Linked DNA regions of Oreochromis niloticus. The protein of the gene in region 2 purifies or fractionates together with the protein of the main gene of each other region. This does not show direct contact. Links are inferred from orthologs where the notes say so. Each region holds a gene or a part of one and is shown on either strand. Other genes may lie near its edges.

Evidence for each region.
Region 1: the proteins of lin37 (region 2) and mybl2b purify together in Homo sapiens (affinity purification with mass spectrometry; 6 studies listed by BioGRID and IntAct, counting the BioPlex papers as one, with this or other methods). This does not show direct contact. The link is inferred for Oreochromis niloticus from reciprocal best matches to the Homo sapiens genes LIN37 and MYBL2.
Region 3: the proteins of lin37 (region 2) and lin54 purify together in Homo sapiens (affinity purification with mass spectrometry; 4 studies listed by BioGRID and IntAct, counting the BioPlex papers as one, with this or other methods). This does not show direct contact. The link is inferred for Oreochromis niloticus from reciprocal best matches to the Homo sapiens genes LIN37 and LIN54.
Region 4: the proteins of lin37 (region 2) and rbl1 purify together in Homo sapiens (affinity purification with mass spectrometry; 3 studies listed by BioGRID and IntAct, with this or other methods). This does not show direct contact. The link is inferred for Oreochromis niloticus from reciprocal best matches to the Homo sapiens genes LIN37 and RBL1.

Annotation. Positions count from the first base shown.
Region 1 is NC_031970.2:33,717,048-33,725,004, reverse strand, and holds the start of mybl2b (v-myb avian myeloblastosis viral oncogene homolog-like 2b), read left to right. Parts: upstream 1-4,954; 5' UTR 4,955-5,427; coding exon 5,428-5,447; intron 5,448-5,880; coding exon 5,881-5,977; intron 5,978-6,119; coding exon 6,120-6,191; intron 6,192-6,275; coding exon 6,276-6,368; intron 6,369-6,464; coding exon 6,465-6,685; intron 6,686-7,211; coding exon 7,212-7,344; intron 7,345-7,439; coding exon 7,440-7,499; intron 7,500-7,610; coding exon 7,611-7,808; intron 7,809-7,957. Other genes in the region: ift52 (intraflagellar transport protein 52 homolog), read left to right, coding at 1-28, 179-308, 405-480, 634-705, 788-914, 1,004-1,087, 1,227-1,295, 1,421-1,575 and 4 more. UniProt on the Homo sapiens protein: Transcription factor involved in the regulation of cell survival, proliferation, and differentiation. Transactivates the expression of the CLU gene.
Region 2 is NC_031976.2:17,552,551-17,560,229, reverse strand, and holds the start of lin37 (protein lin-37 homolog), read left to right. Parts: upstream 1-4,667; 5' UTR 4,668-5,036; coding exon 5,037-5,070; intron 5,071-5,292; coding exon 5,293-5,368; intron 5,369-5,452; coding exon 5,453-5,506; intron 5,507-5,649; coding exon 5,650-5,679; intron 5,680-5,954; coding exon 5,955-6,040; intron 6,041-6,178; coding exon 6,179-6,339; intron 6,340-7,591; coding exon 7,592-7,679. Other genes in the region: proser3 (proline and serine-rich protein 3), read right to left, coding at 154-205, 379-460, 567-738, 1,126-1,270, 1,373-1,875, 1,952-2,181, 2,279-2,412, 2,487-2,572 and 5 more.
Region 3 is NC_031972.2:11,870,364-11,877,983, reverse strand, and holds the start of lin54 (protein lin-54 homolog), read left to right. Parts: upstream 1-4,612; 5' UTR 4,613-4,746; intron 4,747-4,817; exon of another isoform or gene 4,818-6,008; intron 6,009-6,053; exon of another isoform or gene 6,054-6,208; intron 6,209-6,716; 5' UTR 6,717-6,745; coding exon 6,746-7,489; intron 7,490-7,620. Other genes in the region: cops4 (COP9 signalosome complex subunit 4), read right to left, coding at 1,114-1,187. UniProt on the Homo sapiens protein: Component of the DREAM complex, a multiprotein complex that can both act as a transcription activator or repressor depending on the context. In G0 phase, the complex binds to more than 800 promoters and is required for repression of E2F target genes.
Region 4 is NC_031970.2:5,192,297-5,199,213, forward strand, and holds the start of rbl1 (retinoblastoma-like protein 1), read left to right. Parts: upstream 1-3,906; 5' UTR 3,907-4,060; coding exon 4,061-4,222; intron 4,223-6,048; coding exon 6,049-6,182; intron 6,183-6,543; coding exon 6,544-6,747; intron 6,748-6,917. Other genes in the region: si:dkey-222f2.1 (keratin, type II cytoskeletal 8), read left to right, coding at 200-246, 2,295-2,413. UniProt on the Homo sapiens protein: Key regulator of entry into cell division. Directly involved in heterochromatin formation by maintaining overall chromatin structure and, in particular, that of constitutive heterochromatin by stabilizing histone methylation.

The DNA.
Region 1 (7,957 bases), on a different chromosome or scaffold from region 2:
TCCAAGGGAGAGGTTCACAGCGTCAGAGGTGATATATGGGCGAAAAGATGATATTTGCCGGCTAATTTCCAAGCAGTCTAAAATTCTACAAGGCTTAGGGCCACCCAAAATATTTAAGCTTCTTTCATTTGTTCAACCGCAAACACATTTTCACAGTAGTTATTTCCTTTTATTTCAGATGGAGGCGCTGAAAGTCTACCTGGATGGAGGAGGGAATATCTTGGTCATGCTCGGTGAAGGAGGAGAAATGAAGTATGACACAAACATCAATTTCCTCCTGGAGGACTTCGGAGTAATGGTCAACAATGGTGTGCATTGAAACCTTGTTGGAAAAACAACTATGCAAACATTGCCCATGCTGTTTTTAAAATGCTTTGTATTCGTTTTCATCTTGTTCATCCAAGATGCTGTGGTGAGGAATGTGTACTACAAATACTTCCATCCTAAGGAGGCGCTTGTGTCGAATGGTGTACTGAACAGGTTCACCAGTGTTTTTCTCTTTTTATGTATATTTCACAGAGTCCCAGGTTGTTCTAGCCTAAATTTATGATGGCATAATCTAACACTTATCTAATTTCATCTGTATGCTGATAAATGCCAAACTATCAATTCAGTTGCCTGTTTCCTGTGCAGGGAGATCAGTCGTGCTGCTGGAAAAGTGGTCACGGGAATCATTGAAGATGAAAATGTTGGAAACAATGCACAGTGAGTCTCAATTTTGTACACCTCCATCTTCTGCATTAAAGAGAAAGACTTCAAATTTGAGTTGTTGTCTTTCTTTGTGCAGGGCGCTCACATTTGTGTACCCGTACGGTGCCACACTGACCGTGGTGAAGCCGGCCGTGGCTGTTCTTTCAACGGGCTCCGTCTGCTTTCCCCTCAACAGGCCTGTCCTGGCTTTCTATCAGGGCAAGGTCAGAGGCACAGTGTAGTGACAACTTTCTTTTCCTAACCATATGGTCAGAAATGTGGTAACATGGAGATTACTTTTTTTTAAATGTAGAATTCTGGCAAACTGGCTGTCTTGGGTTCCTGCCACATGTTCAGTGATCAATACATAGACAAAGAGGAGAACAATAAAATCATGGTAAGTCCACTTTTTTGTGTAATTTATTAGGTAAAGGTAGAAGCATGATCCTTCTAGAATAAAGCTCCTTTAAATGAGTATTTCAATAGTAGTTTTTTTTATTGGCTGCCGTGGCATACAACTTTTTCTTTTATCACAGGACGTTGTGCTTCAGTGGCTCATGACCGATAACATTCAGCTGAATCAGATTGATGCCGAAGACCCAGAGGTGAGGAAGAGGAGTGTGCATGGCAAAATGGCTTTCCTAATTGTTCTCTCTCTCTTTCTTTTTCTTTTTTTTTTAAATGAGCCAAGGTTCTTCTTTTCTTCTTGTCCTTTTTTTTTGTCCCCCAGATCACAGATTACACAATGCTGCCAGACACTGGCTGTTTGTCTGAACAGCTCAGAGTGTGCTTACAAGAAGGAGACGAAAACCCACGGGACTTCACCTCTCTCTTTGATATGTCTTTGTTCAATCTGTCGACTGACACCTTACCCCAAGTCATCAGGTGAGAAATTGGTCACCCTCCCCTGAGTCCAATCGCTGTTGTTTCCCTTCGAAGCTAAAAACAGATCTTTGGTTTGCAGTGCTTACAAGCAGCTTAATGTGAAAGCTGAGCCACTGCAGCTGATTGCACCGCAGTTTGAAACTCCTCTGCCTCAGCTTCAGCCTGCTGTGAGTTTTTTTTTTTTTTTTTTTTTTTCTGGGGGTTTTCTGTTCAAAGGATTTCACGTCAATGTAACTGAAAACTTAAGACAACATTTTTGCTTAAAGTCCCACAAGTTTGAAGCCAAAAGTAGGTGCTGTCCTGTCTTTCAGGTCTTTCCACCTGCCTTAAATGATTTGCCACCACCCATGCTGGACCTGTTCGATCTAGACGAAACATTCTCGTCGGAGAAAGTGCGACTGGCACAGCTCACCAATAAGTGTAAGTTCAGGATTGCTAATGGAGCATTCACACATGCACTGCAGCCCTCTAGATATCTATTGATGGAGGCGTATGTGAGGACTTACATGTCCAGGGCAGTCAGATTCCACATTAAACTGACTTTCATTTGCTACTTATGTGTGAGAAGCTAGGTGGTTATTTTCACAGCAGTTCAGTAGCCATCCTTTATCTCATATAGGTTGATCGGGTGTCCCTCTTTACGTGGGACTGCACAGCAGTTTCATCTCTTGTATCACATATTTTGACTTAACCTATGTCTTATCTTTTAATTTGACCTAGTTTTAAAAGTCGAAATATATATGTAAGACAGGACACTTCAAAAGTCAGCCAATTCCTCCGGGTTTGTTATCTTTAGTGCCATGTGGCAACACGATGCAGAGCAGCTACCTAAACTCTACTCCCACAGTGTCCTCCCCTCACCCCATCTAATCGTGGCAGATGGCTACCCCTCCCTGAGCCTGGTTCTGTTGGCTTCTTCCTGTTAAAAGGGAGTTTTTCCTTGCCGCTGTCACCAGTTGCTTGCTCATAGGGAGTCATCTGATTGTTGGGTTTTTCTGTCTATTATTGTAGGGTATTTACAATAAAATATAGGCGACTGTGAATTGGCGCTATATAAATAAAATTGAATCGATTTATTGAATGACTGAAGAATGCTGTCATGGTTCTCCTGCAGGTTAGCATGTCATGATATTTTTCTGTTTACACTACTTAAAGTTTAAATTCACAAATCACCAAAAGTGAATGAAATGTTCGTGGAATATGAATAAAAGTACTACAAATAACAGGAAATGCAGCATGTTTTTTTTTGTTTTTTTAAACAAGTCTAAAAAGGCCTGTTGATACCTGCCGTCAGTTGGGATGCTACTTTCAATCCTCCCGCTACAGATATTTACATGTTAAATGTTTGCTCATGAGTCTCCTTTAAATCTGATCACCCTAGTCCCACCTATTGTACACTCTACCCAGACATCTCCCTTAAACTAAGTTTATTTCTGAACTTGCCTGTTTTGAAGCAGATAGTTAATCGTACTCATCCTGTTATTAAATGGGTTGTGTTCACAGGTACAGACGATGACCTTGAATTCTACGTCCGGAAATGTGGTGAAATTCTCGGAGTGACTCCTAAGTTGGATAAAGAGCAGAGGGATGCCAAGCACATCTTGGAACACATTTTCTTCCAGGTTGTAGAGTTCAAGAAACTAAATCAGGTGAGTGTGTTCATAACTACATCTGCTTGCATCTAAAGGCTTTGTCCAAAAATGACTTTCCTCACTTTTGGCAGGAACACGATATGGATCCTGAGGCCCGGTTCACTCCGCTGTGATTGGATTCAAGAAATCTGAACATTCAATACGTCCCTTTTGAAATTAGCACAGTTTGAGCTTATGAGCACAGTTACAATGGAGGGACTGTGGTAACCACACTTTTCAGAACATGTACAGCTACATTTTATAACTTTGTATTGTCTTTCATTGTAAGAATATACCAGAGCAAATAAAGTTCTATACCCTTTATTTAACAGTGCTTTGAAAATATTTTTGTAGTTAAAACATTGATGTGATTATTAAAAAGGCAAACTGTTCTGCATCAGTCCTCACATGGATCCTTTAAAACAGAACATGATGTCAAACTATGGATTGGGGGGGGGGGTGTTAACTTGGACATAGTGGGTGCAGAGGCTGGGAGTGCACATCACACTTGACATCTAACATTTTTCCCTTGTAAAGTGTTAATTTTAGCCACATCAGGGTGAAACATCAGCTAGTGACTCTTGTTGTGAGGGTTTTGGACTCCACGTTTGCTCCAGAGTGCAGGACTCCACGTAGAATCTAGGGCTATTGCTCTCCGACTTGATCACAGACACGTCCCATGACATTTGTGAGGCGGTGAGATCGCTGTATGACTGATCAAAACAAGCTGCCTGCTTTGGCTTCTGAAGGAGCATGTGGGGAGTGGAGGACTTCCCCTGTAACGGGACGGCCAGGTAGCAGCCATCAGCTTCGTGAGTGTTCATGGTGTTCACTGAAAACCCTGGACAGGGAGAGGCGGTGTCAGAGGACAGGCAGAGAGAGGCTCCAATAGACGGCTTGGTGTCCAATCCATCAGCTGTTGTGTCATTCGACACCCTCGATGTGGACAGTTGTTCCAGTGACAGTACAGACAGCAGACTCTGTTCCCCATAAAACTTCCTGTCAAGCTCTGATGGAGATGAGCACTCAAAGCTTTTCATATCTAGAAGGTAAAACATGTTAGACAGAATTCAGAAACAAATCACCTGATGAGGCAAATCAACACGTCTAATTCAGTCTAGTTTTCTTACCTTTGACCACAAACACTTTCTCCATGTTTGATCAGGGCTGCCTCCCTCCTCCAGCTGGCTTTTAAGCTGTTGGAGCTGCTTGCTAATTGACCCAGCTGCAGGTCATCAGTGGGAGCAGGAGGCGGACCTGTCAGCCCTGTACAGATTCAGGCCCTGTAATTTACTTGTGGTTTATTGAGCGCTAATCTGTTAGGTTATATATAAGGCTGTAATTTTAACAAGATCACTAAACCTTTTAAAAACTATTTATTTGTATGCTGTTTAAAAAAAAAAAAAAATTTTAGCATTAAAAATATAATTTTTATTAAAGAGCTTACACATACTGGTGGACTAACCACTACAGAAACATTAAAAATACTTTTTGAATACCAGTACTATCAATTTAAGGCAGCTGGTGCATAAACCTTACACCGGGTGGTGGTCTAATAAGCACTGTATTGTTTAAAAGCTGTTCGCAAACATACTATAGATTTTCTGGGAAGGAAAATGGTAGAAAGTATATTTAGTTAAAGGTGTAAACATGAAAAAACAAACAAAAAATAAATTAAAATGACTTTATAAGTAAACACTTTTATGTGAAAGTGTCTGAAATTTTGTAGTAGAAAAATCGTGTTTTTTCAAACTAAATTTCATTACTGTTTTATTATGTAACAATATCTAAACTTCCCCTCTCAGCAATTGGGTGTTTACAGTGTTTGACTGAGACACACCAATGACTGCAGAAAACATTATTTTACGATAATAAAACAAAATTTACAGCGCTGGGACAAACCCAAAAAAGTTCCACCGGAAGCTTTCTCTGTGGCTACGCGCAGCTCCAATGCGCAGCTACGTCACTATCCGGTTCCTACGACAGAGAAGAGCGCGAGATAGAAATCCAAGAGCGCGGACAACTCTGGCGCTCCGCACCAGCTGGTTGTATAGGCTGTAACATTAGAACAGTGCCGAGCCTCCATCACCAACACTGGCTACAGCATAAAGACATTAATCACGGGTATTACGACGACATAATACCAAGTACGTATGCACATGACGTGCAACGGCCGCCGGAGAAATCGCTTTCGGACCGTAAACAACAGAAATAGAGGGAAATGTCCCGGTGGCCGCGCGGGTAAGATGTTAATCGTTATTACCTAAATTAGCTGTGTGTGTGTTTTTTAACACTGGGGGTTGACGTGAGTATTTAACTTATTCTTTTTAATACAGTCAATTGGAAACTGAAGTCTTCACTGTTTGACCTAACCCTGCTATCCCTGGGAGCTCGCTTGTGTCTGGCCGCCCTTTTTCCGGACACGGAAAACAGGCTTTGGGTTAAACTTAAGGCCAAACACGGTTTCTCTTAGATCACACTAGATAAATAAATCACTGCTCAGCACAGACATTATTGGCAAACTGTGTTATTTCTGCGAGCGAACTGTTATCCGCCAAGTTGGCTAGAAAAATAAGAACGATAATCTAGCTGTCTTCCGGACATCACCAGGGCCGGTCAGTAGTGAGTTGTCTGTCAGCTATGTTCGTCCACATCACAGTTGTTTGTTTCTCAGTGAGGATGGAGAGGAGGCCATGCATCAGGACACTGATTCTGATGTGGCAGAGCAGAGGGATGGAGGGAAAGTGAAGGTGAAATGGACTCAAGAGGAGGTATTTGTTTATTTTTATTTTTTTAATATATATAATGTAAACCAGACTGCTTCATTTAAACATTGAAGTAAACAGATAATTTAAATGGCTCTAGAGGAGGACAGGGATCATAAGAAATGCTCATTTTTTGGTGTGTATACAGGATGACAAGCTTAAAACGCTGGTTCAAAAACTGGGACCAAATGACTGGAAAACCATAGCCAGCTACATACCTGTGAGTCTGAGCATCTTTTCTGTAAGAATGTATGTCAACAGAAATCTTTTTCAGTATTTTGAGTTTGCTTTTTTGTTTTTTTAGAATCATACTGAACATCAGTGTCAGCATCGCTGGTTTAAAGTCTTGGACCCAGAATTAGTGAAAGGCCCCTGGACTAAAGAGGAAGATGAGAAGGTAGGTAGTTCAGAGGTGTGAATGGAGTAAATATGTTGTGAATAAAAGCATGCTGGTGATCTTTTTTTTTTTTAACTTTTCTTTTTTGTCCTCTAGGTTATAGAGCTTGTGAATCTTTATGGCAACAAACAGTGGGCGCTGGTAGCCAAGCACCTGAAAGGCAGACTGGGGAAGCAGTGCAGAGAGCGCTGGCACAACCACCTCAATCCCAGCGTTAAGAAGTCTTCGTGGACGGCTGAGGAGGACCTCATCATCTATAAGGCTCACTGCCTGCTTGGCAATCGCTGGGCTGAGATCGCAAAACTGCTCCCTGGAAGGCAAGTAGCTACTCTGCCAGAAACAGAATTGGGCTGATGTGAGCTTTTACATGCAAACTCCTGCTCTTTTCTGAAGTGAATTCTTAAATTTTTAACTTAGAAAAGTTTGATACGTTGCCGTGCTTGTCAGATACTTTGTAACAACTGATGAACAATTTAATCAGCTGCCTATCCGGTGGGTCACTTGTCCTGCAATGGACTCCTACATCACAGTCTTAAACTTAAACAGTAGTTCTCGTTCTGTTCTCAACCACGAGGAACTTGTTCCAGCTAGACTGAGCCTGTAGGTCACAGCAGATCTTCGCAGCAGAGTATTGTCTACTGTTGTTTGCTGGAATCCTTTCATCCACAGGACGTGAGACACACTTAAGAGGTAGTGTAATTACATTGTTGGATGTCTCAGGAGAAGGGCCAGGTTTTAACAATAAGTCAACTCTCAAAATAAGTGCGAGGATTACTTTGTGTTGCCAAATGAAGTCAGTATGTGGGGAAACACTGCAATTCACGTCCTGATATATATTGACAGGACGGACAATGCAGTGAAGAATCACTGGAATTCGACCATCAAACGGAAGTTAGAGATGGGCTTCTACTCCGGGGAGGTCTTCAGGCCCAATGAGCTGGAGGAGCTGTGGGCTCGTGTTAGCAAGGATGGTCAGGTGGGCTGTGTTTCCATGATGTCCTCCTCTATGATACAAGATACAAAAGATATGTATGGTAAGATACAGAAATTGGGTTTTTTCTCATTACACAGATGCCCAGTTGCTCTCAAGACAGTTCAGACAAGGACTCGGAGCAGAAGATCCCTCCTTCAGTAAGTGACTGTTCAGATTCATTTAAAAAAAAAAAAATAATAACACCGTTACCTTAAGTATCAGAAACTAGTCTATACTAGTGTTGTTATAGAATCTTCTTTTTCCAATAGCTGCAGGAAACAGCTAAAGCTGGCCCCAGCAAAGCTGGGCTGTCAAAGTCTGTTCCCTCTCCAAGCAACAGTCTGAGCCCCAAGAGTGAGGTGGACAGCACAGGAGGACTGAACAGCACTAGCTGGGTGGTGGACAGCTCCGGATTCCTGTCTCCCACTGGCCCAGCTCTGAAGGAAGTGTTAGACATGGTGGATGGGGTAAATATCCACAATACCACAGGGTTATTTTAAAAAACTGTCCCGGTTTTATATTGTGTATAATGTATTCTGTATACTGTTTGTTCTGCATCTGTTCAGTCTTGGCTATTTCACAGTTGTGGCTACATGCTGACCTAACAAATAAATGT
Region 2 (7,679 bases):
TTGTACATGCACAGTGTTGTGAATAATAATCCACCGAGACACATCTCCAACCTTTATTGTAGAAAAATGTCCTCAAAAATATAAATTAACTTTATTTCTTTATAAAATAAAAAATAAATAAATGTGACTACAAAAACTGTCTCTTGATGTTCTTCAAGTAACTTGTTGCTCTTCCACGAATTCATTTAAGATGGAGTCCACCTCACTAACAAAACAACAACAACAACAACAAAAAATCATTCTTTTTCTGGCAATCGACTCTGTTAACATGACTGTCAACCGATTCAAAGAGATTTTAAGAATAAATTAATGCTAGAAATATACACAGGAAAGGATTCTAATCATTACAGTAATGGTGATAATCTAATTCCGTTTTACCTGATCTGCTCCTTCACCCATTTTCTCTGTTTGCGAAGAACTTGTAGCAAAGGATCATCTCCAAACTCTTTTTCATCCGAATCTAAAACAAAAAGTTTAATCTGAGTGAGAGGACAGATACTAAAAGCATCTATTTATGCAGCTGTTTACGGGCTAAAGACTGGTGCCTTTTGCCACCATAAGCTTACCTTCGGCCTCTTGGAAAAGCTGTGAAATGACTTCCATAGAGTTCAGTGCATTGCTTGGAGGAATTGGCGATGGTGAAGGTGCAGCGACGGTGAAGGAAGGAGAATCAGATGAAACAGGAATCCTTTTCGGAGAAGAGGAATCCACCGTAGGAAACAGTACCTCTGAAACTACCTGTTAAGGTCAAATGAAAACACCCAAGTTAATGCATATTAATTACCTTGATCACATTGAACCTTATGACCAGTTTGGCATCCAAAAAATATGTGCAGACATGCATAGTGAAGGTAGACCTGTAATTATATTCAATAAAAACTTGTGTGTATTTTATTTAAATATTTAATATATACAGTCTCCTAAAGACCAGATCTGTCAATGGCCTTTACAAATGATTAATTAAGATCTGTAAACAATCATAGATTGCCAAAGTCTGAGAACAAACACACAGCTTTCAGTTTATCAAATATACTGCAGAGAAAAAACCCCCCCAGAAAGCCCAAATATGGACACAGCCTCTGTGGCTTCAAATAAAGAAATAAAATTGCACATTTGCATGTTTACCTGTCCTAATGCATTGTGGATAGGGGATGGTGGTGGTTCGTGATCACCAGCACAGCTTTCACTGGGAAGCTCCTGTCTTCTCTCTGGTTGCTGCTGCTCTTTACATGATGTGACCTTTTTGGGAAGCTTTTGATGTAATGAATTCCTGTTTGTGAAGCATAAATCCCACAAAATGTTAACGGTATATATCAAACACATATTTTTATCACCAAGACTTTTAAACAGTGCCCATGTTTCAATAATTCACCTTGCTGATTTCTTATGCTGTCTGGCGAGCACTGCTTCCTCCTTCCCATTTACCTCTGATTGCTTCGTCCCCGTTTTCTTTTTCTTGTTCTTCTCAGACATTTTTTGGTGATCAGGCCACTCTCTCTCAGATGGCGTGGGTGGAGTGAGTGACATGCGTTCACAAAGAGTTAATTCTCCAAGGCTTTCAGGGACTTGGGTCTTTTTGTGAAGAACTTTGGTTTGTGACTCGTCTAACCTTTGTGAAATGCTCTGGTGCACTTTGGCATGAGATGACTGGATGGGACATGGCAAGACGTCACAGAGAAAATGCATGTGGGAAGGAACGTGGGCAATGCTCTGCGGCTGAGGGACTGAACCAGAAACATTGATGGTGGGGAATAGTGAAGGACCTGGAGCTGGGGGACAGAACCTCTGGGCCTCTGTGGTTTCTGGCTGGGCAGCAGTGATGTGTGAATGAGTATCTCTTTGTGAGAATTGAGGAGGTTGGGTACCCTGCTGTTCCTGAAGAGCAAATTAATGTTATTCTGTAAATTTGTGCAAAGAATATGGATAATGTAACAAACAGTTTGATTCCAACCTTGTAAGCTTGTTCACTAATGGAGGGATAGCTTAACCTCGTTGCCTGCCAACTAAATGCATGAGGACTGGAGGCTTGCACAGACAGGGGCCTCTCTCTGGCTTGCTCCATTTTCCTCCTTAAACGCCACTGGAACAATATGTCTTCCTCTGGACGGGTAGGAGGCACCAAAGAAGGCATGACAGATTTTTGGAAGGACACACCATGAGCTGAGTCTGAGCTGGCCTTTGCTGTAAATGTTAACACACTGTTTAAAACACAGCAGCACGCAAAATAGAATCTGTCTATAAATAACAAAAGGTATTCTAGTCCACACTCTTTCCCTACCAGTAGTATTTTTGAATAAACTGGGAATCAAAGGTTGCTTCACTGGCTCATCTATACTGATGGGATAGGAGAAATCTGAGCATCCCAGCCCCTCTGAGCTGACAGGGACAGATCCATCACTCACAGAACATTCACTGTTAGAAAAAAAAAAAAAAAGTTAATACAACTCAAGCCATTTATCTTTAATATTGCTCAACGGTCTTCATACCCCCTCAGAAGAAGTCTGCTGGCCTTTTCTTGAAGGTGCAGGATCTCCCTGTCATCAAATTCACCCTGGGATGTGTCGGACAAAAGCTGGGAAACAAAAAACACGTTTTTTCATATAAAGACTTGCAATACTGTGTAAATAAATCCTCCCAAATAAATAAATAAATAAAAGGATTTTAATTAAAAGGGTGATGCATTTGTTCTTAGCAGGCTGAACAACGTGTCAAATCTGGTTGCATAAACGGCGACTTCCCAGGCATTTAATAAACACATAGACCTCCAAATGGAGTGTGGTGCTGAAATGGAAATGTTTATATGCAAACTTAGTCGGAATAAAGTGTTGCTTCTGCAAACAATCAGAATCCCAGGCACTTTGGACATGCGTGGTGTAAATCAAGGGACAATGTAAACCCCATAATCCACTGTGACATCATACACAAACAATAAAAACTGAATAATTGGTGGTGCCTTTTCCCCCTATCTTATGGATCTGTTATTTTTTCAAGAAACAGAAGCACATTTGCTATAAAAAAATTGATAAATTATGGCTTATTTCTTCTTAGCTTATAAATACAACTTACACTATTGGATCCTCTGTAGGGAGAAAGGGATCTGTTACGGTCACGCTGTGCAGATGGATCATAAAGAGCAGGATCCTGGTCCTCTTTCAGAAGTTGGATAACATCTTTTCAGAGAAATGAAGTACACAGAAAGATTTGATAGAATTAAGCAGCTGGTAATGGGGAATAAAATACACCAATGACTGTAAATAAAGTGTACCTTCGTCTGTTGTTTTAGTTGGTGTTGAACTGCTGGGTGATGAATGTGACATCCACCAAAAAGGAGCCTGCTCTTCTCCACTGGCAGAAGCCACCTGATGGCGCTCCTCTCGACTCTGTGGGCGACCATGGCGAAAACGCTCTACGTATCTGGCAAAGCAAAGGTCAGATTTGGTTACAAGAAGTCACGTGCAAAATGAAATAAAAATAATCAGGGTCACTATGACATTGTCATATTTAATCATGAAAAATTGTCCCGTTGTCATTTTGAAACTATTTTTTTAGTTCTGTTTAAGAAAATTACATAAGGCATTAAGACATACTTTGCCAGCACAGAATCCTCCTGGCCTCCTTGAACTTGGGAAACACTGGATTTCCCCATTTTTCCAGACTGTTTGGGTTCGTCCATGTCAGATGAGGCAGTATTTCTATCAGGAGAGAATCCAACGACAGTGGAGGCCTGGGACTCTTTAAGAACAGGTTGTCCATCAATGGAGGAAAAACGGTCATGCTTCTTAGACAGCTGCTGGCTCTCTCGGTTTAGATTATGTAACTTTGTTCTGGATCGCTGGTTTAAACGTACAGGACTTAGTGTCTGCAAGAAGAACAGAAAAGGGATATATATATATCACAATGAGAATCTGTTTTTCTTGCAGTATATTAAGTGTTTTTGACAATAAAACATACAGTTTTTTTCTCTTTCTTTGAGAGGGGTTGTTTGCTGGATGGGTGGTAGTGTGCCGTCCTCACTTTGGGTGCTGCTGGGAAGGGATTCTGCTTTGTGAACACAGGTCCACTGTAAGAAGAACACATATTACTAACTATAACTTCTTCTGTTTAGGGTGCTACAAAATGTGTCATTAGATCCTCACCTGGAATTCATAGCAACCTTTGGAGGTGACCGATGAGACATCAACGACCACAAGAAAGCACACACAGTCCTTGTTTCAACGTGGGCTTGGTTTACCTCGTGCACCCCAAATCATATCAGGACTGACGTGTTAATCTGAGTGGGTTACTTAGCTAACAAAAAGACGATGGCCCCATTACTAAACTCTTCCGAGTTTACTTGTCTACACACAAAGTTACTTCAAATGCCAGAAATTCCCTTTCAGAATATAAATTACGCTTCTCCGTTAGGCTCTATGAACATCTATTTATCATTCCAATTTAACGTTCTGACTAAAAACATAGTAACTTCGCGTTTATTTTACAAACCCAGTACATTCTCGATGAAAGTGGAAGAGAGCTTTTGTTGTGTATGCCGAACGTTATTTACTACACGACATACAGCCAATAGGGAACGAATTAAAAATGATTGATATAACATTTGACCAATCATATAGGCGGCCCTGTTTGCACAGGCACCAATCAGCTAATAGGAAATTGGCAGCGCGCGGAAGAGGAAAGTCTAGTAAGGTTATGCGTTTGTCAAAAATAAGCTAAGTTAGCAACAGTAGTTTGGCCATTACCCTGCAAAGCTTGGTATAAATCATAAACGACTGCTGTGCTGTATCTTTCTATTAACTATATGGAAGTCGATAGGGATAAATGTTATTTGCTTAATGGTTTGAATAGCGTTATATAGCTTAACTGTTAACCAGTGGTTACAGCTAACTGGTTGTAAACGGTACCCACAGCTAGCTTGGCTAACGGCGCCGTTAGCAAGGAATCAAACATAATTTATTGTAAATCTAAAGAACCGAAACAGCAACCGTGTGGTTTTACAAGTCCGTCAGTTCCCACGGGGTGTCTATAGAAAGGCGGACACAATGCAACACGTCAAGATCAAGACTGAAAGGCCAGGTAACAGCAGCTCTCAATATTTCCTGAAGCCTTGTGTTTTCAGCTTTTCCAAATTTTGTGTGGTACAAATTCTTGTTTTGGATTGTTTTGGAGTACATTCGCCTGTAAGTTTGAGTGGTTCGGATTATACAGGATTCTTAAAAGCTAAGTAATACAGGGGGCGAGTGTCACCCAAAGTGAGTATTGTTGTTGTCATTAATTATTTCGTTATTACTTCTGCAGACTTAGACGGGGCTGGTGCGCGCAGCAAATTAGATGCTGTCTTAAAGGGACTGGTAGAGAAGAGCGAAAATGAAAGGTTAGCAAAATTAATTGTTGTGCATATAATTATTATAGAATCGAGTTATTCTTAATAACAAAACTAATATAAACATGTTTTCAGCAGGGAACAAAATGAAGGTGATCCGGGAAAATTGTCAGCCGACTCTTTGAACAAGTATGGACCAGTGATTTTGGTTTTATTTAGTTTTTAATGATCTGTTAATAGAATATTTTACAATTGGGTGCGCTGATTCAATGATTTTACTTCAACATTTATTTTTTAATTGCAATTTATGCATATTCCACCATTCTCTTTAGGGATTTATCACCGACATCTGCTGGAAAAAGGCAAGTATTTATGTTTTAGTTAAACTTGACTTGTCAGTAACTTTTTTGTAATTACTAAGTAAGTAAAATTTTATTTATATAGCACCTTCCAATACAAAGATCACAAAGTGCTTCACAAAGAAATACCAAGGCATTTAAAACAGGGCATATTTAGACTTTTTTATCATTTTGTCTGGAAATAAAAAATATAATTTTACTTGAATTGTATGAGAAATTAGTTTGAATCTCTTTTAAGCTCCAAAAATTTATTACTTTAAAAAATCTATTTGTTGCAGACCGTCGGCTCGATTTCCACAGCACCGGAGAAAGAAGCGAAAAGAGATGGATGAGAGCATTCCAGAAAGCAATCAGCATAAACAAAGTAAATTAATGAAAATAATGAAAAATGATTGGAATTTGTCTTTGATGTGCCTTGGTTACTGTGTAACCATCTTGTCTGTTGCACTTGTGACCATTTTCTTACCTTTAATTTATTTTTCTCTTGTTCTCCTTTTAATAGATGCCTACGTTATCAAGTTGTTTGACCGCAGTGTGGATCTGGCTCAGTTCAACACCGCCACCCCACTGTATCCTATCTGCCGTGCATGGATGAGGAATAATCCTTCCGTTCGAGAACCAGCTGCTTCCCCCAGCTCCCCACAGAGCATGGTAGAGGAAGAGGTAGGATCATAAATGGATTAGATGCTGGAGATTTTATTCAAATGTACAACCAACAAATGTACAAAAAAACACAGAGGCACATTGATTTAAAGTTATACTTCACTCATGCATCTACAGTAAGTTAAAATGAGGTCTTTTACATTTTGCTAATGTGGAACTTTGCAGGGTAGAGTGTAAGGGCCCTTTCACATAGGATGTGGGACGCGCAGCCCTGCGCTCTGAAACCCGTTCATTTCTATTGCTTGCGCCACACAATAACGTTGTACTGCTGTGCCAACCAAAGCGCTGAGCAAAGCACAGCCCAAGCGTGCCAGCGAGGAGTACTCGTGCATGCACTGCGTGTTGTGACTTACCTTCACGTGACCAATAGAAACAATGCCTACAGCTGCTCTAAGTTTAACCAAATGATTAAGGAAAACATTCTGTGTGTATCTGAGTTTGATGAACTTTTTGACACAGGTTTATGTGCATATATAGGGATCTCCAGAGCCTTTGAGTAAGTCTTTCATTTCAGCGACTTTGGGGACCTCAAGAGAAAAGCAGTGTTGAGGAAATGACACACTCTTGACTAGTAGGATAGTTACAGGTTTCTTCTTTATGAATGAACAATACATTTAAAAAAAAATTTAATTAAACATCTTGCAGACGATATGATTCAGAGACATACATGTTTTTTAATGTAAAGGAGCAGACGCATCTAGTATATGTAGAGCGGCCGCAAAAAATGACGCACAAGCAGAGCGGCCAGTGCAACACAAATTTGGGGTCCTTCGCTCTAATTAGCGGTTAGCGCAGGTCATGCCCCATCTCATGTTAAAGGGCCTTAACTCTTTTGCAATCTCATAATTTGATCATTTCCTGATTCAATCAATTGTTGTTTCACAAGGTCTAATGTAATTAATTAAATGTAATTAAATTAATTGTTAATTTCATTGCAGTACACTGTGTGCCAAACTATTGTCTTCTTTTGTTTGCCTAAGTGCAAATGTAACTGACTGTTACATTTGCATGTTTTAATCAAGGTTATCTGAATAAGATATAATGAAACTGTTTTTAATGGATGATCCCTACAGTGACGATATTTTTGAGTTGTTTGTTTGTGAGGTGCACTATCTGATTGTGTACTCGTACTTTTGTTTTAGTAAGTGCCCCCCAAAAACAAAATGGCATGTTATGGCATCACTAAGTATTGTTGTTGGAAATAAGCGTTTAGCAGTAATCTTTTTTTTTTTTTTTTTTTTTTTCTCCCTAGGTTACGGACACAATCAACGGTAAAGGTCAGAATGTGTACCGACTTCCTCCTCCGACTGCCTGTCCAGTCAACTCCTCTGGTGAACCCA
Region 3 (7,620 bases), on a different chromosome or scaffold from region 2:
AATGTACAAACTGAGAAGTATGGACTTATTTTGTGAGAGGAAATTTTGAATTTATTATTTTGAAATGAGTACCAAAAAAAGTACCAAAATCGAAGGAAAAGTACCCAATCCATTCGGTAAATATCATTTCATAAATAAATCTGTAATCAACATGTCACTAAAGTGCTCTGAACATAACAGAACTATGCACATAAACACCAGTTCACATATAATTACAGCAATGAGTCTGTGGTCCCTTACTTAAGAGAAGTCGATGCATTTGATTGTGACTTCTGTGAAAAACAAGTGTATTTAAGCTTGAGTGAATTAAACCCCCCTTTAATAAACAGCTATTTAAATATTTCCATTTTAATTAACCATTAGCATATACTGTGGATAAAAATACAGTAAACACTTTCTTCTTATACAAACACGTATACAACAGGACCTAAAAGATACCTTTTAAATAGATTTATCACCTTTTGGACAATACTGACGAAAACTGAAATTGCAAAAGTAGACTTTACAGCACAGTTGTACTTGGATTGCATAGGTGTTCCTAATAAAGATGTTGTTTATAGGATGGTAAGAACGTACGCAAAGGGTGTCCTGGCAGTTTTCTAGTCAAGTATCACTTTGTTCAAACTGTATTTAAGCTATATTTAAGCTATTTTAAATTTGTTTATGTCTTATGCTTTTATGATTGTGTAAACTCCTTGCTTTTATGTTGCTTTTTACTCTACTGTGTACAGTGACCTTGAGTGTTTTGAAAGGCGCTTTCAAATAAAATGTATTATCATTATTATTATTATTATTACCTTGTGCTCTGCACCAAATGTGCAGCTAAAGAGCAGCAAGTTAGCTAGTTAGCTTGGATGATAAAATATACAGTTCTCATAATTATTTTACCAACAATTAATGTGGGTAGTCACTCCTTTTATGTTCCTTGCACTTTGGATAAAACCTAAAAGCAAACATTGACAGACTGATTGCGTTTCTATCTGGTTTATCTGGATGTATGGCTAATGCAGCTAACGTTAGCTTAGCTTTGTGCAGACCAGTATCTAGCTGCTAGCTAGCAGTTTCTGTTGCAGTTTTTAACGAGTGATGTTCTCCCTAACTAACGTTACATACTTGGCAGCAAGATCTTTATGAGATCCACTTGAGTTCATCAGTTGTGTAAGCTCCTGCCTCACTTCGGTCGCCATTGTAGCCTGTGTCGAAGTGTCAACACCGGTTTCCTCTGCCAAGACAGGGGAGAGCCTTCCGTCTGCAGTCAGAGCGCAGAGCTCAGCCAGGAAGTGACGCAGCCAGCCATGGGAGCGGAAGAGGGAAAAGAATGATTATAATTATTTTAGGCCAGGCTTAAATGTTGATCTATTGTATTACTTTTTTATTGTCTGAATTTTAAGTGATAATATATGTTTTTAAACAAAACTTGGTGAGTATTATAAACTATCCATCCCTTTCCTGAAAATAATCATAGCTATATTTGGTTACATTTTTTCTGGTAATTTTGTGTTTTAACCTAAAAAAGGGTCAATCTATTTTTAACACTAGTATCATCTGAAATATGAGGGGCTTTCTTGTGTTTGCGCAATAAAATATCCTGTCTCACAGACATGCTGAACAACTACATTCTGTATTTAATGCCTCTAGGCTGGGCTGTTGTAAAGCATTATTATCAGGTTGTTCTAAAAGCTCCCTGAAAAGCCTTCAATTGATCCAGAATGCTACAGTAACAGTACTGACGGGGACTAGCAAGGCTTTTTCTCGTTCACTGGCTCCCTGTTAAATCCAGAATCCCATTTAAATTCTACACCTCACATACAAGGTCTTGAATAATCAGGCCCTGTCTTATCTTAAAGATCTCATAATACCATATCACCCTAACAAAGCATTTCACACTCGAGTTACTGGCTTACTTGTGTTTCCTAGAGCATTTATAAGTAAAATGGAAGGCAGAGCCTTCAGCTTTCAGGCCCCTCTTCTGAGAAACCAGCTACCAGATTGCATTCAGGAGACAGACACCCTCTCTACTTTTATGAATAACTTTTCTTCTTCACTTACTTCTTACTTTCTGTGTGTTTATACAGCACTTTACATATAATCATTAGTTACAGCTAATCTCTAGTAGACTTCCACAGCGTGTCTTTTGCCTTGTCTTTCTCTCTGCTCTCTTCTCTTCCCCACACTCCAAACCAGTTGCAGTGGATGGCTGCCCCTGTACCCTCTGGCACATTCTTCCTGGTAAAAAAGAGTTTTTCCTTTCCACTGTTTCCAAGTGTTTGTTCTTGGGGATTCATTTGACTGTATGGGTTTTCTTTTTATTACTTTTTAAATGCTATGTAAATAAAATTGAATTGAGCTGACATTTTTGTCAAACCAGTCAAAAGTTTGTTTGTTTGTTTGTTTGTTTGTTTAAGTAAAATACAACTAAAATATATAGCCTAACTAAATAATGTTGGATAATAGTAATAGTAATAAAATACATATGACACCAGAGGTCAAGTTATATACAAGTGGTATCAGTTAAAAACTAAATATCTATAATCAACATCAGTCAAAAAGTATATAAGTATTACGCAAAATACATAAAGACATGCCTGATGTATCGACTTTTGTACAAGAAAAAGTCAGCACCATAAGAGCTCATTGACTATCAACTGGACCTCATGTCACTTATGATGAATCTCCAAAAGTTGAATCTGTTCATCTGGACGTAGTGTTTTGTGGGAGAAACGTTTCGTCACTCATCCAAGTGACTTCTTCAGTCTCAGCTGACTGCAGGTTTCCCCAAACCTTATAAACAGTACATTTGCATAATGACTGAAACCAGCCCACTGAAGGAACAATGGGCTGTGAGGTCAGTACCTTAATCATATCACGTACTACATTTCACAGATCACATTAACTCGGTGGACCGGCACATCAAATTCACCAGGGAGGATATGAAAAGTGGCAGGTTAGCCTTCTTAGACTGTGAGATTTCCATCAGTAATGGGGGACATCTAAAGGCTGACGTGTACTGTAAACCTACACATACGGATCAGTATCTAAGGTCTGACTCTCATCATCCACTGGAGCACAAACTGGGTGTCATCAGGACGCTACAAGACAGAGCGAACACCATCCCCACAGACACAGCGGCCAGGGAGGCAGAAGAACAGCACATCAAGAAGGCCCTGAGTAAATGTGGTTATCCCAGCTGGACTTTTGTCAAAGCGGGAAAGGCACCTAAAGAAAGCTCCAGCTGATCCAGGAGAGAAGGACAACTGCTGCCCAAGCGAAAACCTGTAGTGATCCCATATGTGTCAGGAGTATCGGAACAGTTGAGACGCATTTTTTCTAAACACCGGGTCTCTGTGGCTTTTAAACCCCAAAACACGCTGCGCCAAAAACTGGTCCACCCCAAGGATCAGGTCCCCCGACACAAACAGAGTAACATACTGTACGCTGTTAAGTGCCAGGAGGATTGTCAGGATTTATACATCGGGGAAACCAAACAACCTCTAGCGAAGCGGATGGCACAACACAGAAGAGCAACCTCATCAGGCCAGGACTCTGCAGTCTATTTACACCTACAGGCCAGTGGACACTCTTTCAATGATGAGGATGTACACATCCTGGACAGGGAGGAATGCTGGTTTGAGCGCGGAGTCAAGGAGGCCATTTACGTGAAGAGGGAAAGACCATCTCTGAATCGAGGAGGGGGCCTGAGGGTACATCTTTCGCCATCTTACAACGCTGTGATTGCAGCCATTCCCCAACTCAAAGTGAATGGTACTCATGGCCATTGATCAGTGTTCTTTGATCAGTGGGTTTTGGTCAGTGATTGTTGATCAATGGTCATGGGAATTTGCATAATTATGATTAAGGAACTGACCTCACAGCCCATTGTTCCTTCAGTGGGCTGGTTTCAGTCATTATGCAAATGTACTGTTTATTAGGTTTGGGGAAACCTGCAGTCAGCTGAGACTGAAGAAGTTACTTGGATGAGTGACGAAACGTTTCTCCCACAAAACGCTACGTCCAGATGATCAGATTCAACTTTTCGAGATTTACTTTCCTGGATGATTGAGAATGCATCAAGACTTATGATGAATGTACTGAAGAGACTACGCTGGCCTGCCTAAGACCTCAGGCGAAAACATCTCTTGACACTCTGTAGTATGCAAGCAGGTCGAATCTGGGAGTGAATCATGGCGTAATCTCCATGCTGAAGACAGTTTACTCCCATCTAGGCAGTAACAACTGCAGGGTGAAGTTTATCTTCTCTGATTTTCTGAAGTGCATTTCATGTGTTTTGCCACTGTTACTGTAAGAGAAACTACGGGACATGTAAGTAAACATGTCCACCACCTTATTATTTACTGACTACCTGACAGTGGTACGTGAGACTGGGCACTTAGTGAGGCTGCTGGGTAGTGCTCTGTCAGATTTTGGTAATGTCCAGCACACGAGCTCCAAGGCTGACTGTGTTGTTTGTTTTTTATAAACTAATAAAAGTTTTTATTTTCCCAAAAAAAACTATAAAAAAGAAGAAGAAGAAGAAGAAGCATTAAATAGTTTTGTAGAAACAGTCCTAACGTTGATAAAGCAATTGTGCTGTAGCTTTAAGTGTTACGTCAGTGTTTCGTATCGCGTGGAGGGCGTGGCCGGCCTGTGAAATGTCAGGGAGGAATGGCGCTCGGCGCGGTATTTTGAACAATCGTCTTTTCCTTTCCTCCCTTTATCTGGAAACGCTGCTTAGCTTAAAAATTTGGGGTAAGCATGACTATGCGTTGGCCCTTTCTAGGATTTAACACACTATATTCAACATAAAGACTCACACTAAAGAATGTATTCAATGTTGAGATATAATGTTGTGCTAGCTAGCTCGGGTTAGCAAGCTCAGCAAGTTTGCTAGTACAGTTGTCCTGCCCGCTGGGCTGTCTAGATGAGACTGCTGTTGCTGTCTTTGCTGCTGATGGTGATAATGATAACAATAACGATAACGATGTTTAAAGATAGACTCCGGTGAAAAAGCAGTATAATATTCCCAGGACTTGGTTCGGCAGAGTATTTTCAGCGCTTAAGGAAAGTTTCTCGTGCACAAAACAGGGACTTGGTGTAAATATCATGTGAGCCGGCCGCTAAGTTTACTTACTGCAACGGCAAATGAAAAGTAAAAGCTAAGTTAGCTGCACATCGAGTTTCATTTGACATACTGGCGAAACGTCTAAAGGATCATAGATATTTTTATATGTATGTAAAATATTAGAAGGCACAAGTCAGCAGTTCCATTTGCTGTTAGTTGTTTTCATATTACTTTAGCTGTTGACCCCGTAACATTCTTGGAATTTACGCTTTTCTGGTTCATTCTCAGACTATAACTCAGTCAAAATATGACTTTCTTGAGGTTAAACTAAAACATCATTTTGAACTGGTTAGGCCACGCTAACTCCAGCCCTAAAACACAGACTGTAAATGCTCTTAAGGAGATCTATAGTAGCAATCGCAATAATTGCATTGTGGAATTAAAATGTTGTATTTCCTCCTATGTCAAGTGACAGGAGAAATTAGTGAAAGCTAGCATTGTTTACGTTGTCAGAGTCTGCAGAGTTTTGTTGTTGTTGTTGTTTTTTGTTGTTTTTTTACTCGCCAGCAGCACCCTGTTAACATCAAGTCTTATCTTCAGCGATTGTTTAGTAATGCTTGTTTTGCAGTGAACTGTCAGTGTAAGTGTCTCTGCTTATTACCAATATTTATAAACGCTTCCCCTCAGCATAGCTTAGCGTTAGCCGGGCAGCTAACTAAGCTGATGACGAGGTAAAAATGGCGGATCTTTCGAAATCCAACCCCGGCCTGAAATAGTAACGCAGCCAACAAAACAGCTTGTCGCTTTTTTTCCTCGCTCTTTGCCCCAGTCAGGACCACTTCTGGGCATTTTTAAAATAAACGAGTGCAACTCAGCACAGTTTTCTTTTGATGGCTTTCATCTGGGGACGTGAAGAGATTCAGCTCAGTCAGCTCTGCGTGTGAATGTGGTATGGAGTGGGTAGGGTTCATATGTGCGTTTCGGTGGATTAATGTTGAGTAGAGTGCAGCAGGACAAAGATACGGCAGAGATGATCGTTGCGGCCTAGCATCAGCTGTCTGCTTCAGTCAAAATCAGCACAAGTCAAACGTTACTCATGCCCACCTCTTTATTTATTACACCTCACGTAATTACTGAAGTGATTTACAGGTAAAGTTATGACAATCTGGCACTTCTACTGCACCAACATGGCTAGCTCGCTAGCTTGAACTATCTTGCTCTATATTCTCAGCACAGCTTTTAGCTGTCTGTCTGTATTATAATCCAGTTATGTATATTGTATAAATGAGTAGAGGAATACATTTTTAAATGAATTGCAAACACTGTTGACTGCAATTAAATGCAACAGCTCTCTAAAATGATGAATGTATATCCTCAGAATTTTAAAATTGTATTATCTTTGTCTGTCTCTCCCTGTTCATGGTGCATCTAGTGCAGTAAATGTAAGCTTCTAGGTCTTTCAAATAATATAAAAGTGATCAAATACAACAGAAAACCCTCCTGCCTAATAGCCAATAAAACAGATTTGACCTGCTGGAGTTTGAACATGTGTGCCTGTATTATAAGTTAAGCTGACAGTGGTGTTAATGTTGTGGCTTACTGGTGTTTTTGATGTATTTTGCAATGACAATTAAAGTTAATTGTATTGTTCTTTCAGGATTAACAGAAAGCTGAGAGTTTGCAAGCATGGATGTAGTGTCACCAGAGCTCAACAGCCTCCTCCCTGATGAGATCATGGATACTGAGGATATAGAGGATGTTCCTCACTCTCAACCTGGCACCACTGGAGTCCACTCAGAGCCCAGTGATGATGCATCGGTCCCAATGGAAACTGATACACCCATGGCTTCAGAGAACGTGAGCCTCTGTTCAGACGCCGCTTTAACCGAACCCACTCAGGCTATGACCACCTCCACAGCCACAGACTCCATGCTTAGTGCCAGCCCCAGAAGTCCGCCTCCTGTCTCAAATTCCAGCACATCGTCTCCTCTTCTTACTATCAAACCAGGCTTGGCTACTTCGACAGCCACAACCAAAACCACAGACAGTGTTACTGGAACTAGTGTGACTACAAGTGGATTACAGAAGCTCACAACTCCATTTACAATCTCTCCTGCAAATCGCCAGATTATTCTCAATAAGGTGGCCTCTCAAGCCTCAGAAGCAGCAAAGTCTGCAGGTAATCCACCTCAGGTCATCAAGCAGGATGGACAGAAACTTTTGGTTACAGCTATAGGAAAATCAGGGCAGCCTATAGTGCTTCAGTTACCCCACACAGGCAGCAAGCCTGGTGTTTCACAGACTGCCGGGGACACCAAGTCTCAAGCTCCGCAGTTTAAAGTGGTGACTATAGGTGGGAGGTCAGACCTGAAGCCAGTGGTGGGCAACCAGGTGACCACATTACAGACCCAGCAGCTGAAGACTGTCCAGGTAACAATGACCTTTTGTATTATTAATACATTTTTACAAAAATATTGCTTGTCATGTTCCACATGTTACTGTTAAATTAAATATATTTACTACTGTAAATGATTGCGTCAATATCAATTGAACATACTGTG
Region 4 (6,917 bases), on a different chromosome or scaffold from region 2:
ATAGAGACATCAGTGAGAACTACACCAGACTGAAATGAAACAGAATTTGGGTAATGTTAGGGTAGAGTGCCCTCTACAGGTGGGAATGTGACACCACATGGTTACAGCCCAGGATGGAACAGAAGAGTTAAAGAGTCCACAAAAGTGAAATATAAATAACCTCTTTTTCTTTTCTTTTTTTCCTCTTTTGCCTCTGCAGACTTGGACAACAGTCTATCCTCAACATCCAGCCCATCTCCAACTACAGTAAGTGTCAAATACTAAGGCAGATTAGTGTATGAATATGAATGTGTCATGGCTACTGGACGGACTCACGCGCAGACAGTTCTTTCTTTGAGAACAAAAGGAGATTATTTATTTACAACAGGGATCACCTCAGTGCTATATATATGTACAGTGAGTTGGGAGAGGGGGGGTCCAGGGCTCTGGGGAGAGAAGGGGGGGGATCCACACACGCTTCCTCTTCCACACAGTCACCGCCACAGCTCCTCCGCACACACGCACTCCTCTTCAGCCGCACTTGCTCCGAAACTCCACACATGCTGCCACACCCGGGCAGGTCCCATGATTTGGTCCAGAAGAGGGATATCTACACACAGAATTCAACGTTAGTTCCACAGCAAAATTCACATAGAGGATTCTTTTGATAATGCCGAGAGCACGAACTCAGGAGGTTCAACGTTCCAGCGGTGAGCTGCTCTGTGCCACTGCCTTAAATAGCAGCTGGGGAAATCAGCCAGATCAGCAGCAGGTGGAGACAATCACAGGTGCGTGGGCCAAGAGCGAGAGCCCGTAACGAGCTCCACCCAGGCAGAGAGGAGGAGGAGAGACAAAGAAAACAAAAACAAAAAACAACAACAAAACCTGTAGCCAGCGTGAGCCAGCCAGAGAGACACGGGGACCGTGACAGAATGTTTTTATATGACTAAACCCTTGATGCTCAGGGGCCCGTTCTTCGTACCTCGCTTACTACATCCAAGATCAAATGACACATCCAAGATCAAATCATCGCGCTAACTTTGAGCTCGCTAATCCGGTTCTCCGAACACACCTGTTGTTGACGATCAGTATAGCTGGATGAAGTAATGCGAGATCACTGGGTGTCTCAAAAGGGGCTACGCATCGATAGTAGAAACATTGATCGGCAACCCTGTGATTGGTCGGCGAAGATGTCGAAGGCGCGCGCTCAGTATTTTACGGCAGCAGAGCAAGAACTCTTGACTGAGGGATATCAGGAGTTTCAGAGTTTAATTAAAACGCAAGGGAACACTGCAAAGGCTGCAAAAGCAAGGAGAGAGGGCTGGCAGAAAGTTGCTGACAAATTAAACTCGTAAATAATTTATTATATCATATTCCATTATATCCTCTTTCACATTAGAGCCACAACAGGACCCACTAGAACATGGGGACAAGTAAAAGTGAAATATAAGAATATTCTACAGAATGGTAATATTTATCACTTATATTGCTTTTAGTCTCTTGAAAAGAGACCCTGAAATAATCTGTTTGTTTGTTCATAACAGCAACCAAGAAAAGGGCAGAGCAAATAAAGACAGGTGGTGGTCCTGCACCCCCTCGTGTGTGTGTGTGTGTGTGTGTATGTGTATGACAGGACGGATCCTGTCAATCCCGCAATATACGCTGAATTCTGGAAACTCTCCTTATCAATCTTGCACCTTCCGCAATGGGTTGCTCGCGTACAAACGGACAGGACATGACTGCGACAGACTTCCCAAATCCACCTTCGCTTTTATAGCCGTGGTCTCTCATCTTGATTACACGAAGTAATTTACTATTACTACTCTAAAATACGAATTACATCTGAAATAATCAAATACGTGTAATAGAATGATTACTAGTACATTTCCCTTTTTCTTAGGAAATGACCTGTATGTATCTGTATGCAATCAATAAAAGAATCAAATACTGCATTATCTTTAGTTACATTGATAATATTTATTTATGGAGAAACAGTGGTGAAATATCGCTGTTGCTTTCGTGTACATGCAGCGGACATACCTGAGTGGCCGCGATCTAATCCTGTTTACATAAAGTAAACCTGCTCCCGAGCAGGTTTACGCTTACGGATCTGTTGCTATGACAGCAAGTCCCAGATGAGCTTCGGAGAACCGAACGATCCAAGATCACGCGAAATCGTCAACAATCAAATCCGGCTAACTTACATAGCGAGGTACGAAGAACGGGCCCCTGGACTGAGAGGTTACATTAATAACGACAGAGAATTTGTATTTTGTGAAATTTTGTCTTACACATCTTCCTGTATTTTTCTTCAGGTTTCTCTTCAAGTACTAAAAGCACTAATGGCTACCAAAGTGCCTCCAGCTCTCCTGCCCCGAAGCTGCTGATAAAGACAATTGAGACCAGAGATAACAGCAGATACAGCATTCACTGAGAGCACACTCACTGGTCCGCTGTGATTTTCTAAAAGCTGTCTCTAAATGTGTGAGGGGCTCCACGGGGCATTTCATTACTTTACTTAGAATAATGGAAACATAAATGATGTAAATGACAAAACCGAGTGGGAGTAGTCCTGGGGTTTGTTGTTAGTTCCTAATACTGTTAAGGATTTTAATGTGTTTCGTTTAGTGTGCTGAGTAGTCTAGCTTTAATCATATGGGGTTTTGATACACACTGTGGTAGAGTGCTGTGTTATTTACTGTCTAATCTGTACTGAGATTACACGGTCATACGACTATTGGAGTTTAGAGTTTAGGATAGCTGGTTATAAAGAGATTTTTTATGCTACTATAAAGAACATTAACTTTCTTTAGCTACAGAAGTAGTTTAGTTTGAGGGGGCTAAGTTACTTTTTAGTTGCTTTCAAAAATAAAGTGATCATAAACAAAAATGTTCTTGATTTTTTATTCTTTCCTGTTTCTGAAACTTCTGTAAAAGCAAAAAAATCCAAAGTATAAAAAACTCCATGCTAATCATACGTCACATTTGAATTATTTATATTGATGTCTCTGTCGCGTTGCTACACTCAGACTCAGCATTTCAGAGGACCCACTAAAATGTGCTATTTTTATACAGTCAGCCCCATGTTCCCCTTTTTTAATGTGATTAAGCATCACTGTTACAAAAGACCAAACAATATTACAGCATGAGCATGCACCAGCAGTTAAAATTAATATACCCAGAGTTAACAGTATACAGTATCTGAACATACCAGAGGCCCTGCTGAGGTTAGAGGTTTGTCCCATGGCAATGTAAAACAAACAACTAAATACCTTTCAATCCATCCATGCATCCATCCAACCACCAAGCTTCATCCAGTTTAGGGTCGCTACTTCTGGAAGTTAAAAGTTTGATTCAAAGTTCTAGAAGGAAGTTCTGCCACAATACGCATTTTAAACACACCTGTAGACGTTACTATTTTATTACTATGTAAATTGAATTTAATATAAATGTTTAATATAAATATAAATTAAAAATGCATGGTTAGAATCACAAAAAAGCCACCCATAAGTCAAAATTTCCGGTTATTACAAGTGCTACCTTTTTTTCTGTTTTACAATCTTTCCAGTATTTTAAATTTAGGATCCTTTCAGTCCTCTACATTAAACTTCCGGGGGCGGGGAAAGGAACGCATTCGTAGGCCATCTTAAAATTGACACAGTTAACAGTTAATAAAAACGTTTTCTATTTTCTATTCCGTATAGCTTTGCTCGTGTTCAATTAAATACCAATAATCAAAATTTAAAATAAATTAATAGAACATGTTTTCGGTCGCGCGCTTCGAACGTGGTTGCCTGGTAACAGCTGAAAGCAAAGAGCCAGAGCGTCGGCTGAGCACGAGCTTTCAGCTTGTGGCAGGGGGTTGGGCGAACAGCTCGGGACCGACGCTCCCCTCGCCTCTTATTGGTCCGGGTCGTGAAGTTTTCGCGCCAACGCGCTGCATTGTGGGGGACTGATAACGGAAGTTGTTGTGTCCTGAACAAGTTGGGGGGCTGTGTTATTTGGCAGTGGGAAAGAGGGGCGCTGTGTTTTGTTTTTTAGATTTGAACTCAGGTTGAAATTACACCTGTCGCTGGTGCGGATGCGGGGCGAAGAGTCTTCAGATTCGGAGTCGAGCAGGATGGAGGAGAGCTCGGTGCGGAGGAGTTTGGAGACGTTGTGTCAGGAGCTGAACATGGACGAACAGACGGCCACAGAAGCCATGGACAACTTTACTGCCATATGGAATACATATACTCTGGAGGTGAATAATGTCCTCTAAATAGTCAGTAGCTGTTTAACGAGTCAGACTCCTGCTAAGCTCATTACTGTAGATTAATTTTCATGCGTAGTGAATGCTTCACCAGGACACGAACACAGCAGTTAAAGGGCTCTGTTTTTACTTTCCACGCTGGAGTTGCACCGGTTAGTCGATCGCCACTGTGTATCAACTAATCATATTGCCAGTAAAATGATCGTGCTGATTTATTCTTGTGTCAGAGTCACCCCTGGTTTCGGCCTCTCCAATACAAAAATACTTAATGTCCAAGTGAAGCGTTAATGTTACAGCAGGTATCAGCTGGATTAAGCTAAATATATACAATAAAATAAACTAAAAATAGATTAGAGACTAAAGACAGCGTATATAGATTTATTTGGGATTTATTTTGTTGAGCTGTTGTTGTCATATGTTGTTTATTGTTTGGGTTACTGTGATGGCGTGAGTTTCTGATAAAGTAGACACTAGAGTAATCATAATATTTTATTTATTGAATGTAACTACTGTCCAGAACCACAGTCTTTGTTCACATCAGGGTTTGGACTGAATAACAAAAAGGGGGAAAACGTATTGTTACCCCAGACCTTGGTCATGATTTTTTTTTTCATAAACATACATACATAAAGACGCTTGACTTAAATTATATCAAGCCTGTTTTTGTATACTAGTGTGGGTGGGTGAAGCTGTGCAGTAATTTAAAGAGTGCTTGCGGTATAGGGATCCACTACTGATGAAATTTTTAGGTCAGTACTGATGTTTGAAATATCAGTCTGGCCAATAGATGACATTAGTAGTTTTTCTTCTGTAGTTAGTTTTGTGTTGTTATTTCGTCCTCCTTTCAATTAAATAAATGGTCATTGTAAAAAAAAAATAAAAAAAAAAAAACCTCTTAAACTCATATCTTTATTTGAATAGGGCTGATTTCAATGAATAAATATTTTTTTATTCACTTAAATGCATAAAATTCATGGCAACGTTGTTTATTGAAAATTAAAATGAAAAACAATAAATGGGAATTATTTGAAACCATGAGTCATGCAAAGATAGATAACCTACTCTGTTTAACTACTCCATGCTCTTAAACTTTGTTTTATTATTGTGTTCATTTCCTGTTTTTATGCTTGTCTTATTTGTTCTGTAAACTGTCCTCGAGTGTTTTGAAAGGCACTTTTAAATAAAATGTATTATCAATATTGTCATTATTGTTATTATTATTATTATTTAAGCTTAAGTAGAATCCAAAAATAAAAACATGGATAAAAGCAGGAAAGGTTTCTTTTAAAAAAAACACAGACACACGCTTATAAGTATAATGTTGATTCCTAATTTACATTTACGAAGCTGTGACAGCAAAATGTTTTCTGATCAGTTTGATGTTTCTTGACTAAAAAGATGAATATGGTAAATGGCCTGTATTTGTATAGCGCTTTACTAGTCCCTAAGGACCCCAAAGCGCTTTACACATCCAGTCATCCACCCATTCACACACACATTCACACACTGGTGATGGCAAGCTACATGTAGCCACAGCCACCCTGGGGCGCACTGACAGAGGCGAGGCTGCCGAACACTGGCGCCACCAGGCCCTCTGGCCACCACCAGTAGGCAACGGGTGAAGTGTCTTGCCCAAGGACACAACAACTGAGACTGTCCAAGCCAGGGCTTGAACCGGCAACCTTCCGATTACAAGGCGAACTCCCAACTTTTTGAATATGATTGTGCATCATGCAGCTGCATGATGCACAAAGCTTTATGTTTATGTTATGTATCGAAGACAAATGTGTAAATGTTGTGTTGCTGTTTCTCTGCAGGGAGATGTTGTACACTGGCTGGCATGTTCACTGTATGCAGCCTGCAGGAAGGGGTCCACTCCCACAGTGGGCAAAGGGCTGATGGAAGGAAACTGTGTCTCACTGACCAGGATTCTTCGCTCCTCGAAACTCAGGTGAATCTCTGTCAGCTCTGCGGGACCTGACTGTGCAGTTTAAGAAAAATGTAGCAACTGATAAAGCAATAAAAACATCAGTGTGCCGAATAAATTATGAGGTGGTAACTTACCTGGTTTTAGATGACTGATGGTGAAGAAAAGACTCAGATTCAGTGTCTTCTTTACAGATAACACAGAAAGTGAAATAATTTTCTGTATTATCTGTAGAAAAATTTGACCATAAACAATGAATGTTTACAAACTGAAATCCTTTAAAAAGTGTGTTACAAAATTTCCAGTTACAGTTTTAATGGGAGCCTATCCTCCATTGTTTTGTGTTTGAACATGTACACTTCTGCTTGTTCTGTCCCTTCCTCAGTCTGATCCAGTTCTTCTCCAAGATGAGGAAGTGGGCCGACATGTCCAAGCTCTCACAGGACTTCAGGCTCCGAATGGAGCGCCTGGAACGCAACTTTGAGGTCTCCACGGTGATTTTCCGCAAGTTTGAACCCATCTTCATGGACATGTTTCAAAATCCGCAGGGAACCGACCCGCCACGGCAACCACGCAGCAGGAAGCACAGGTAACACTAACACACACAGAGCTGCTTGTCTAACCCTTGGTTAACATTCTTGTAAAGTTCTATATCTAAAGTATTAAGATCTACTTTGAAAGTGTTTGCTTTAAATCCCTTTGATGCTGGACTTTGTAGTGCAAATTATATTAAAGTACATTCAATTTTCAACACTGCTT